Notamacropus eugenii: one gene and its partner. Each later gene encodes a partner of the first gene's protein in a complex. Links are inferred from orthologs where the notes say so. Each region holds a gene or a part of one and is shown on either strand. Other genes may lie near its edges.

Region 1 (3,745 bases):
ATGGGAAAGAGAATGGATACATACACATATACAAAAGAGGCACTAGCAGCTGGGAGGAATCAACCAGTAACCAACCAGAGTTGGACTAGGTCAGGGGTTCTTAAGCTGGGATCCACAAGTAAATGGATCAATTTCAGAGGGTCTGTGAACTTTGATGGGTAAAAAAATTATATCTTTGTTTTTACTAACTTCTAACTGAAATGCAGGTTTTCTATCAATTATGTGTACAAACATTCTGAAGGGGACAAAACTGCCAAAGGGGTTGATAACACAAAAAAGTTAAGAAATCCTATTTAATGTCCCTTTCTAGGTATAAAAATCTATGAAATGAAGATTGAAGGATTTGAAGTCAAGAGTTCAAATCCTGGTTCTGCAAGTCACAACCTTCTCTAGGCGTGTTGATTCATCTAAAAGAGTAAGCTGGACTAGAAGGCCTTCAAGATCTGTTCCAGCTCTAAATCTATGATGATAATCAAAACAAGACTGATGACCCATAGTTCCTATGTCACTCAATGTACTACTTAAATGAAACTCAAGTGCCAAAGAATATACATGTTTACTACCTTTCCCACATTTCAGGCTAATTAGTGGTTTCAGATTCTTAAAAAAAACAACTAAAACCCACACACCTTTTAGAAAAAAAGATATTAATAGTCCCATCTCACCGTCATGTCCTTTTGTTAAATTTTAATTAGCACCAATAAATGTGCTGGTAAGTCAACTCTATCAAGGATAGTAGTTGCCTAATTAATCATAACAGGTAAGTTTTAAGATCTGAAAAATGCTTTACATTTTATCTCAGTTGACCTTATGCTGATAATAAAGACAACAGCAGAGGCAGAGATAAAAGGTGTATAACACTCTAGGAAAAATTTCTGACCAAGGACAAAACGTTTTTTAAGTTTGCTATCAAAGTTGATTAGAAATCAACAAATCACCATCATAACAAATTTCAGACTTAAAATTTTTAAAAAGAAGGAAGTGTAGCAAAACTGAAGCTAAATTAAATCACAGAACTTTTTGATAACCCTAGCAGGTCAACTTCAACAATGTTTAAAAGGTTAGTTTCTCATCCTAACTACAAATTTGCCCAACGAGCTTAGTTAGCTTACTAAAAAAAAAAAAAAAAAAAAAGTTAGTGCCTAGTTCTAACCATAGATTTTGAACAGCTTGCCTTTACTATCCAAAATCCATAAGTCCACAATCTTTAAACGAAAAATGAGCACAAATTTTTATTTTACTAAAGTAAATTTTGTGATTTTTATTTCTAAGGAAGGACTTCAACATCTTTTAAAAAGTTTAACCTCTTTCAGAATGAGCCTTAAGATACAAGTTATGTTCTTTTTGTTTTTCTTTTTAAAATAACCACAGTAACACTTTAATCAGGACAAAAGCAGAAAAGAAACACTTTGTCCAACTGCAACTACTGGAGCCGTCCCACGCAGAGGCAGGACAAGGACCGAACTTCGGTGGGAGCCCAGACAAAACCGGGGCCCCCCGCCCCGGCCCGCCTTAGGTAAGTGGTCAGTCAGCCAGAGAAAGGTAAGAGCTCCACCTACTGAAGCGCCCGCTCACTTCCTCAAATACTTGGCACTCCTCCCCCGGCCTCTGGGCTCTCCTCCCCCCGCCCGCCTCTGACACCCGAATCTCCGGTCAGACCACGAGCTCCCTTTCCTGCCCAAGTTCTTTACCGGGTGGGCCATTGCCCACAACTGCCTCTCGCCTGCCCAGGGTCGCGGCACACGCGGGGAGGCAACACCAGCCGGCCGGGGCCCCGACCGAGACCAGGAGAAAGCGACCACGGCTCGCTCGCTACCTCCGCCAGAAAACAGCCGGCGAGCCCTCCTCGCAGGGCGCCCCCGAGGCCCGGCCTCGGCCCAGGCACAGGCCCCGCTTCCCGCCTCGGCCTCTAGTCTCCCCGCGCCCGGGGCTGTTCTGGCCTCCGGAACCAGGCCGCCCTCCCTCCTTCCCCGCCATCGAAGCTGCTTCCCTCGGCCCAGAAGCAGAGCGAGGCACGTTTCGCACTCGCCGCTCTCCTCCTTCTCCTCGCCGCCGTCCTCCCCTGAGGACTGCCCGGGCGCCCCTGCCTCACCCTTTCATCTTCCCCGTCTGCCGTGGCCGTCTTTACCGCCGATCCCGCCGCCGTCGCCGCCGCCGCGCCCCGAGCCCGGGAGCGACCCTACTCCACACACCGGCCTCCGCCTCCTCAGCCGTTGCCACCACCGCCTCCGGGCTGGAGGCCGGGCACGATTCGCTAGGGACAGCCGCGGCCTTCGAGGGCGTCTCAGGCCGCTGCCCTGGGGCTGGGGCTGCCGCCGCTCCTCCACATGTGCACACGGGGCCGCTCGCAGCGCTCCAGCCCGCCTGCCCGCCAGCCAGCCAAGACCCGCCGCCGCGCCGCCGTGACCTTTCACCCCGCCCCCTCCGCGCGCGCCGGCGCGCACGCAGCTTCGCTGCTCCCGCCCCCTCTCGCTGCCTCGCCTTCCTCTCTCCGCCCCAGCCGAGATCTCTTAGGAAACCGTCCACCTCCTAGATTGTACCATCTGCGGTTATCTCTCTTTCCCTTGACCCCTCTGACGCCTTTCACTGGGCTAGCCCGCCGGCCTAGGAGCGGAAGAATCTGGATCTCTCTGCCCCTCCCTCTACCTTTCCTTCTTTCTGCTCCCTCTGAGACTGGATCAATCTAGCCCACCCCTGCTTTTCCCGGGCTTTTGGATTATTCCGCCTCCTTTTAGGTGACCTTCGAACTTTAATATCACTCTGAATGACCTATTTGCCTCTGTTCTTTCATTATAAGATTATAATTAACGCGAAATAATGTGGACCTTTTAAAAAAAGTTAATAAAAACATTACATTCTGATACTTTGCCCACAACCCGAGCTTTTTCAGTCACGTGGCCTGCGCACCCCGAAGGACCGGGGTTATTAAAACCAGAACCAGCGGGATGGAATCCCCATTCCCATTTCCGTTCCTGGAAGAAAAACGTCATTTCCTTGGCAATACCCTTTGACCTCGTTCCCATTGCTCTCACACCCTATAAATGGAGAGAGACTGTTTTCCCTTCCTTAAGACAAGTATCTTTCTGGACTGGCAAAAGCAATAACAGGGGAGCCAAACAGCAAGAAAGTGAGTTTCTAAAAGTATCCCAATTAAAAGAGCAGTTCCCGAGATGCAATGCGCCTTGGGGAGGGGGGGTTGAGAGAAGGGGTGGGGCTTAGGGGGAGTCATTTGACTCGCGAGGCCCCGCCCCCTCTGCCGCTGCTCCTGGAATCGCCGAGGTCCGCAGTGACAGAGCTGAAGGGCTTCCTCTCTCCCCCGCTGCTCGCCCAGTTCTCGGTAGCTCGCGCCGCAGCAGGTGAGCCCCGGGCGGAGGGAGGGCGGACTGGCGGGCGGGCAGACGCGTCGAGCGCGGCCTTGGCCGGGTTGGCCCCGGAGGGAGTTCCGTTCCGCACCGGCGAGGGGCTTCTGTCTCAGCCTCGCAGAAGGTCCTCCTTCCGTGGCCGCCGCAGCCCTGCTCGGGCTGGTCTCGGTATCGGGCGGAGGCGAGTGCGGCTGGCCGTTATGCGCCTTCGTTGGGGACCCGGGAGAGCGGGACTGGCTCTGCCGCCTGCTCCTCCACCCGGCTGCAGCCCTGCGGCGGGGGGAGAGGGAGTGGCGGGGGACGGCTCGGTCCCTGAGGCTGCCCGCGCCCCCGAGCCTGTTCCCAGGGCTTGAGCCCTGTGTCGAAGAGGCGAGGAAGAGAAT
Region 2 (3,745 bases), on another chromosome or scaffold:
TTCTTACAAAATGCAAACACAAATATTATCTATACTTTTGAAAAATAAGTTTTATTGATGTCTTTCGTTATTACATCATAGCAATTTCTCTTCCTCTCCTTTCTCCCACCCTGAATCTAACCTTGTAACAAAGAAACAGTTAAGAAAAAAGATACAGTGAGTAACTGACTAGGCAACATTCTGCCCACTTAGAGGCAGGTATGTTTCATTATCTTCACTGAGATTATTATCGTTTTTTCAGTCACTTAGACGTCTACTTCCTCTTAGAGATTTCTTCTTTTACACTTGTGGTCTCTGTCTCTTATTCTGCTGGCGCTTGTTGTTTCACATTTAGCTAGGTGCTCTAGACTCTAGCTAGAGGACAGGCTGATGGACTCATTTATCTACCTCAGTTTACTCAGCCCTTCACCTTCCTCCCCCTCTCCCCATTTTGACTTTCTTCTTGAAGTTCGGGCCACCTCTTAATCCACAAGTCTATGTCTAGATTTTTTTCCTAAGCGGTCTTACTGAGTCGGAGTTTTCGGATCTCATCTACAAATTCAATGCGCCCCAACGAGCAGGCTCAGTGGCAAACAAGCCGAAGCTCTGCGGGGCCGCGAGGACAGCCGGCATCCCCGGGGGCACTCCTCTTGGGCTGGCCGAGGGTTAAGTTCCCTCACCCGCCGGGACGTTCCAGGTTCCTAATGTAACCCACTCCGTTATCAGAAGACCAGCCCCGCGGTGACCTTTAGACTTTCGTTGTAGGAGGCACACCCCGTCCCTGCCCCCAGCCTGGGCCGCTCCGATGCCCAAGTCTGGGCCAGGCAGCGCGCTAGCACCCAGGCTCCCCGGGCAGGGAAGCGGCCAGGGCGGGGGGAGAGTTCCGTACTTCGCTCGCCCCGCCCCGCTGGCCTCCGGAGCCGCGGCAGCTCAGCCGCCAGCACTGGGCGGGACTGGAAGCGAGGACCAGGAAGGATAGGAAGGGGAGGAGACGAAAGGGGAAAGGAGGTCACGGCGCCTGCGCGCTATCAGGTGTGACCCGGGTGGGAAAGCCCTCCGCGTCCGCCATTTTGGCTACCTCTGTCGGTCTGTTCAGTTACCACGTGAACCGCCGACGGGGACCCGCCGGGGGGAGGCGGCGGCGGCGGTGGCGGCAGGAACAGGGAAAGGAAGAGAAAAGCGGCGGAGAAGAGGGGGCCAGGCCGGCGGGAGGGCGGGCGCCACAGCGCGGCGGCGGCGGCGGGCTCTCGGGGCTGAGGAGGCAGCCCGGGGACGGCGGCGGACACACACACACACCCCCACAGCGCCCCAGACAGACCCGACCGAACCGGGCGGCGGCGGCGGGAGCCGCGGGAGGAGCCGGGACGATGCCGGCCGTGAGCCTCCCGCCCAAGGAGAACGCGCTCTTCAAGCGGATCCTGGTGAGTGCAGCCCCCGCGCCCGGGCTCCGCCGCAATTCCCGCTCGGCCGCCCGGCGGCCGCCGCGCCCCAGCCCGCGCGCGCCCCTCGCGTCCGTGCCTCGCGCCCCGGCCGCCCTGCGGCCCTACCCGCGCCCCGCCTAGGCCCGGACCGGGGGTGCGGGGCCCCCGCGGCGGGGGCCTCATTCATTGAGAGCAAGCTGCGTCTTCCCCCGCGGCGACCCCGTTGGTCCGGGGCCCCTGCGCCCGCCCGGGGCCCGGGTTCCCCGCGCCGCCCCGCCGGAGCGCGCCGCAGGAGGCCCCCTCGGCCCGCCGCGCCCCGGTCTGCGCCCGCTGCCTTGGCCGGGGGCCGGCGCGTCTGCGACCCGGCTCTGCCATCCCCTTTCCCGGGAGGTGGAGACCAGGTGGGGCCTGGCGGGAGGGGGCGGTCCGGGAGGAAAGAAAAAAAGTTTGGAGCTATTGGTTGTGAGATTGACTTTTTCTTGTGAATGAGACGCGAGTGCCTGGCCAGACACCCAGCCCCAAGTCTGTAGCTGCAGAGCGGAGGATAAGCCTCTAATAATGAGGCTATTTGCTCAAACTTTTGAGGGGTTTTTCGTTGCTGTTGTGAAGGTTTGCGTTCCTAAATCAGAGCTCATGATGGCGTTTGTAGAGAAGTGTGATGTGTAGCCACAGTGAGTGACTACATTGTAGCACGTTTTCACCTGGCTGGTGGTGTGCGTGGAGTAGGGAGCGTACCCCCTCCATGCCCAGGCACTGGATCCGTAGGATTTCACAGCAACGACTTGTAAGTTGTTAACTTAACCTAAGAATCTGTCTTATGTTTTAAACTTTGAAAAGTTTAAAGTGGAAATCGTCTTCAAAAAAATCAAAACTGATAAACCAAGTCACCAATTTGGTATGATGAAGTCACGTACAAGAGATCGAGGTAGTTTGTGTAAAAAGGTGGGAAAACTACTCTCACCATCTCATAGTTATTTTTTTTTAGTCTTTGGTACCATTGAAGTAAATCAGAATTGTTGGTAGTTTTCATCCTCTTAAAAGTGTAATTGGATCTTAAATATCAAATGCAGTCGGAGTTGCAGAGTGGCAACTTGGATTGACACTGAGATGATTCGCACATGTGAAGTACTGTGATTTTTAGAAACAAGTTAAATGCTCCTAAGAAAGTACCTTAGAATCCAGATCCTACATTGACATTGTGATATAGTGTTTATGAGGTTAGGAATAGGGATTAGACTTGTGTTTGCCTTGATACAGAGGAACTCTCATGTAGGGAAACTCATCAGTTCAGGTCAGTGACTTACATAGTCTTAGTTGCCTAAAGCACTGAGAGGTTAAGTGACTTCCAGTTAGTGTCAGGGAATGACTTTGACTCCAGGTCTTCCTGGCCGTATTTATAAATTATGTCCAAGAAAAGTATAAATAGGTAAGCAGAAAGCCATGAGATGTATTAAGCGCTAAACAGCAGAAAGCTGTAAAATTATTCTACCTTGAGAGTTGAAAAAAAAGTGACTAGTGGGATTTTGCATTCTAGTGGTCTGGAGTTTCAAAGTTGATCCATGTTTGTCAGTTCATAGGTGTTTTAGGAAGTTGAGCAACATTAGTAGATCAGACTTTTCCAGTCTAGGGAAGAACTGGGTATTCCTAATGACTTGTAGTAAAACATTCTTGTCAAATAGTTATTTGTTCATAATTAGACTTAAATAGGGAAATAGTTGACATTTTTGATATCAAATTGAAGTTTCATGATAAAATGTGTGTATGCCTTTTTTTTTTTTTTAAAGAGGAAATCAGTTTCTACATCATTGGAGACTTCCAGAATTAGAGTTTCTGAAGTGAATTTTGTTAGGGCTGGTCCTGGGCCATTTTAGTAATAGTAAGTGTGCTTTTTGTTGGAGATGTTAACTCTTCCTTTTGTTCTAACTCTGATCTGAAGAGTAGAATCATAAATTGAATGACATGTCTGTATAGCATGTCTTTCCTTTCTGTCACCCTGATATAATTTGTCCAATGAAAAAACTGACTTTATTTACATTTTGACATGAAATTTTAAGCAAATTTTTCTTTGGTTGCAAGGGGATTTTACAGTTTTATTTTTGTAAATAATTGGATATTGTTTATTTTGGGTGCATCTTGTTCTGAGTTATTAAAGGGCATTTGAGTTTGAAATATTTTGAATTAGTACTTCTCTTGACAAATATGATTATCATACTTTTTTGTATTGTACATTGTTATCATAATTACAGGTATTTTCTTTAGTCAAATTTGGTAACTTTGGTGTAGAGGCAAGAAAAATGGATTTGGAGGACTTGGTTTTGAATCGAAGCTCTACCTGTCATCTTGAG

What was found. The genes of interacting proteins can lie anywhere in the genome.
Region 2: the proteins of NAA50 (region 1) and NAA15 are in contact, whole or in part, in a cryo-EM structure (PDB 6PPL), measured with the Homo sapiens proteins. The link is inferred for Notamacropus eugenii from reciprocal best matches to the Homo sapiens genes NAA50 and NAA15. Residues at the interface, in NP_079422.1 of Homo sapiens: Arg5, His14, Asn15, Lys17, Gln18, Arg21, Leu22, Val25, Phe51, Asn52, Ile54, Ala55, Leu80, Pro82, Tyr83, Leu86; in NP_476516.1 of Homo sapiens: Pro369, Pro370, Thr371, Leu374, Ser403, Thr404, Pro405, Thr406, Leu407, Ile408, Phe411, Glu433, Ala436, Leu437, Asp438, Thr439, Ala440.

Annotation. Positions count from the first base shown.
Region 1 is NC_092876.1:353,945,525-353,949,269, reverse strand, and holds the start of NAA50 (N-alpha-acetyltransferase 50), read right to left. Parts: upstream 2,462-3,745; 5' UTR 2,101-2,461; coding exon 2,093-2,100; intron 1-2,092. UniProt on the Homo sapiens protein: N-alpha-acetyltransferase that acetylates the N-terminus of proteins that retain their initiating methionine. Has a broad substrate specificity: able to acetylate the initiator methionine of most peptides, except for those with a proline in second position.
Region 2 is NC_092877.1:135,835,083-135,838,827, forward strand, and holds the start of NAA15 (N-alpha-acetyltransferase 15, NatA auxiliary subunit), read left to right. Parts: upstream 1-833; 5' UTR 834-1,346; coding exon 1,347-1,400; intron 1,401-3,745. UniProt on the Homo sapiens protein: Auxillary subunit of N-terminal acetyltransferase complexes which display alpha (N-terminal) acetyltransferase (NAT) activity. The NAT activity may be important for vascular, hematopoietic and neuronal growth and development.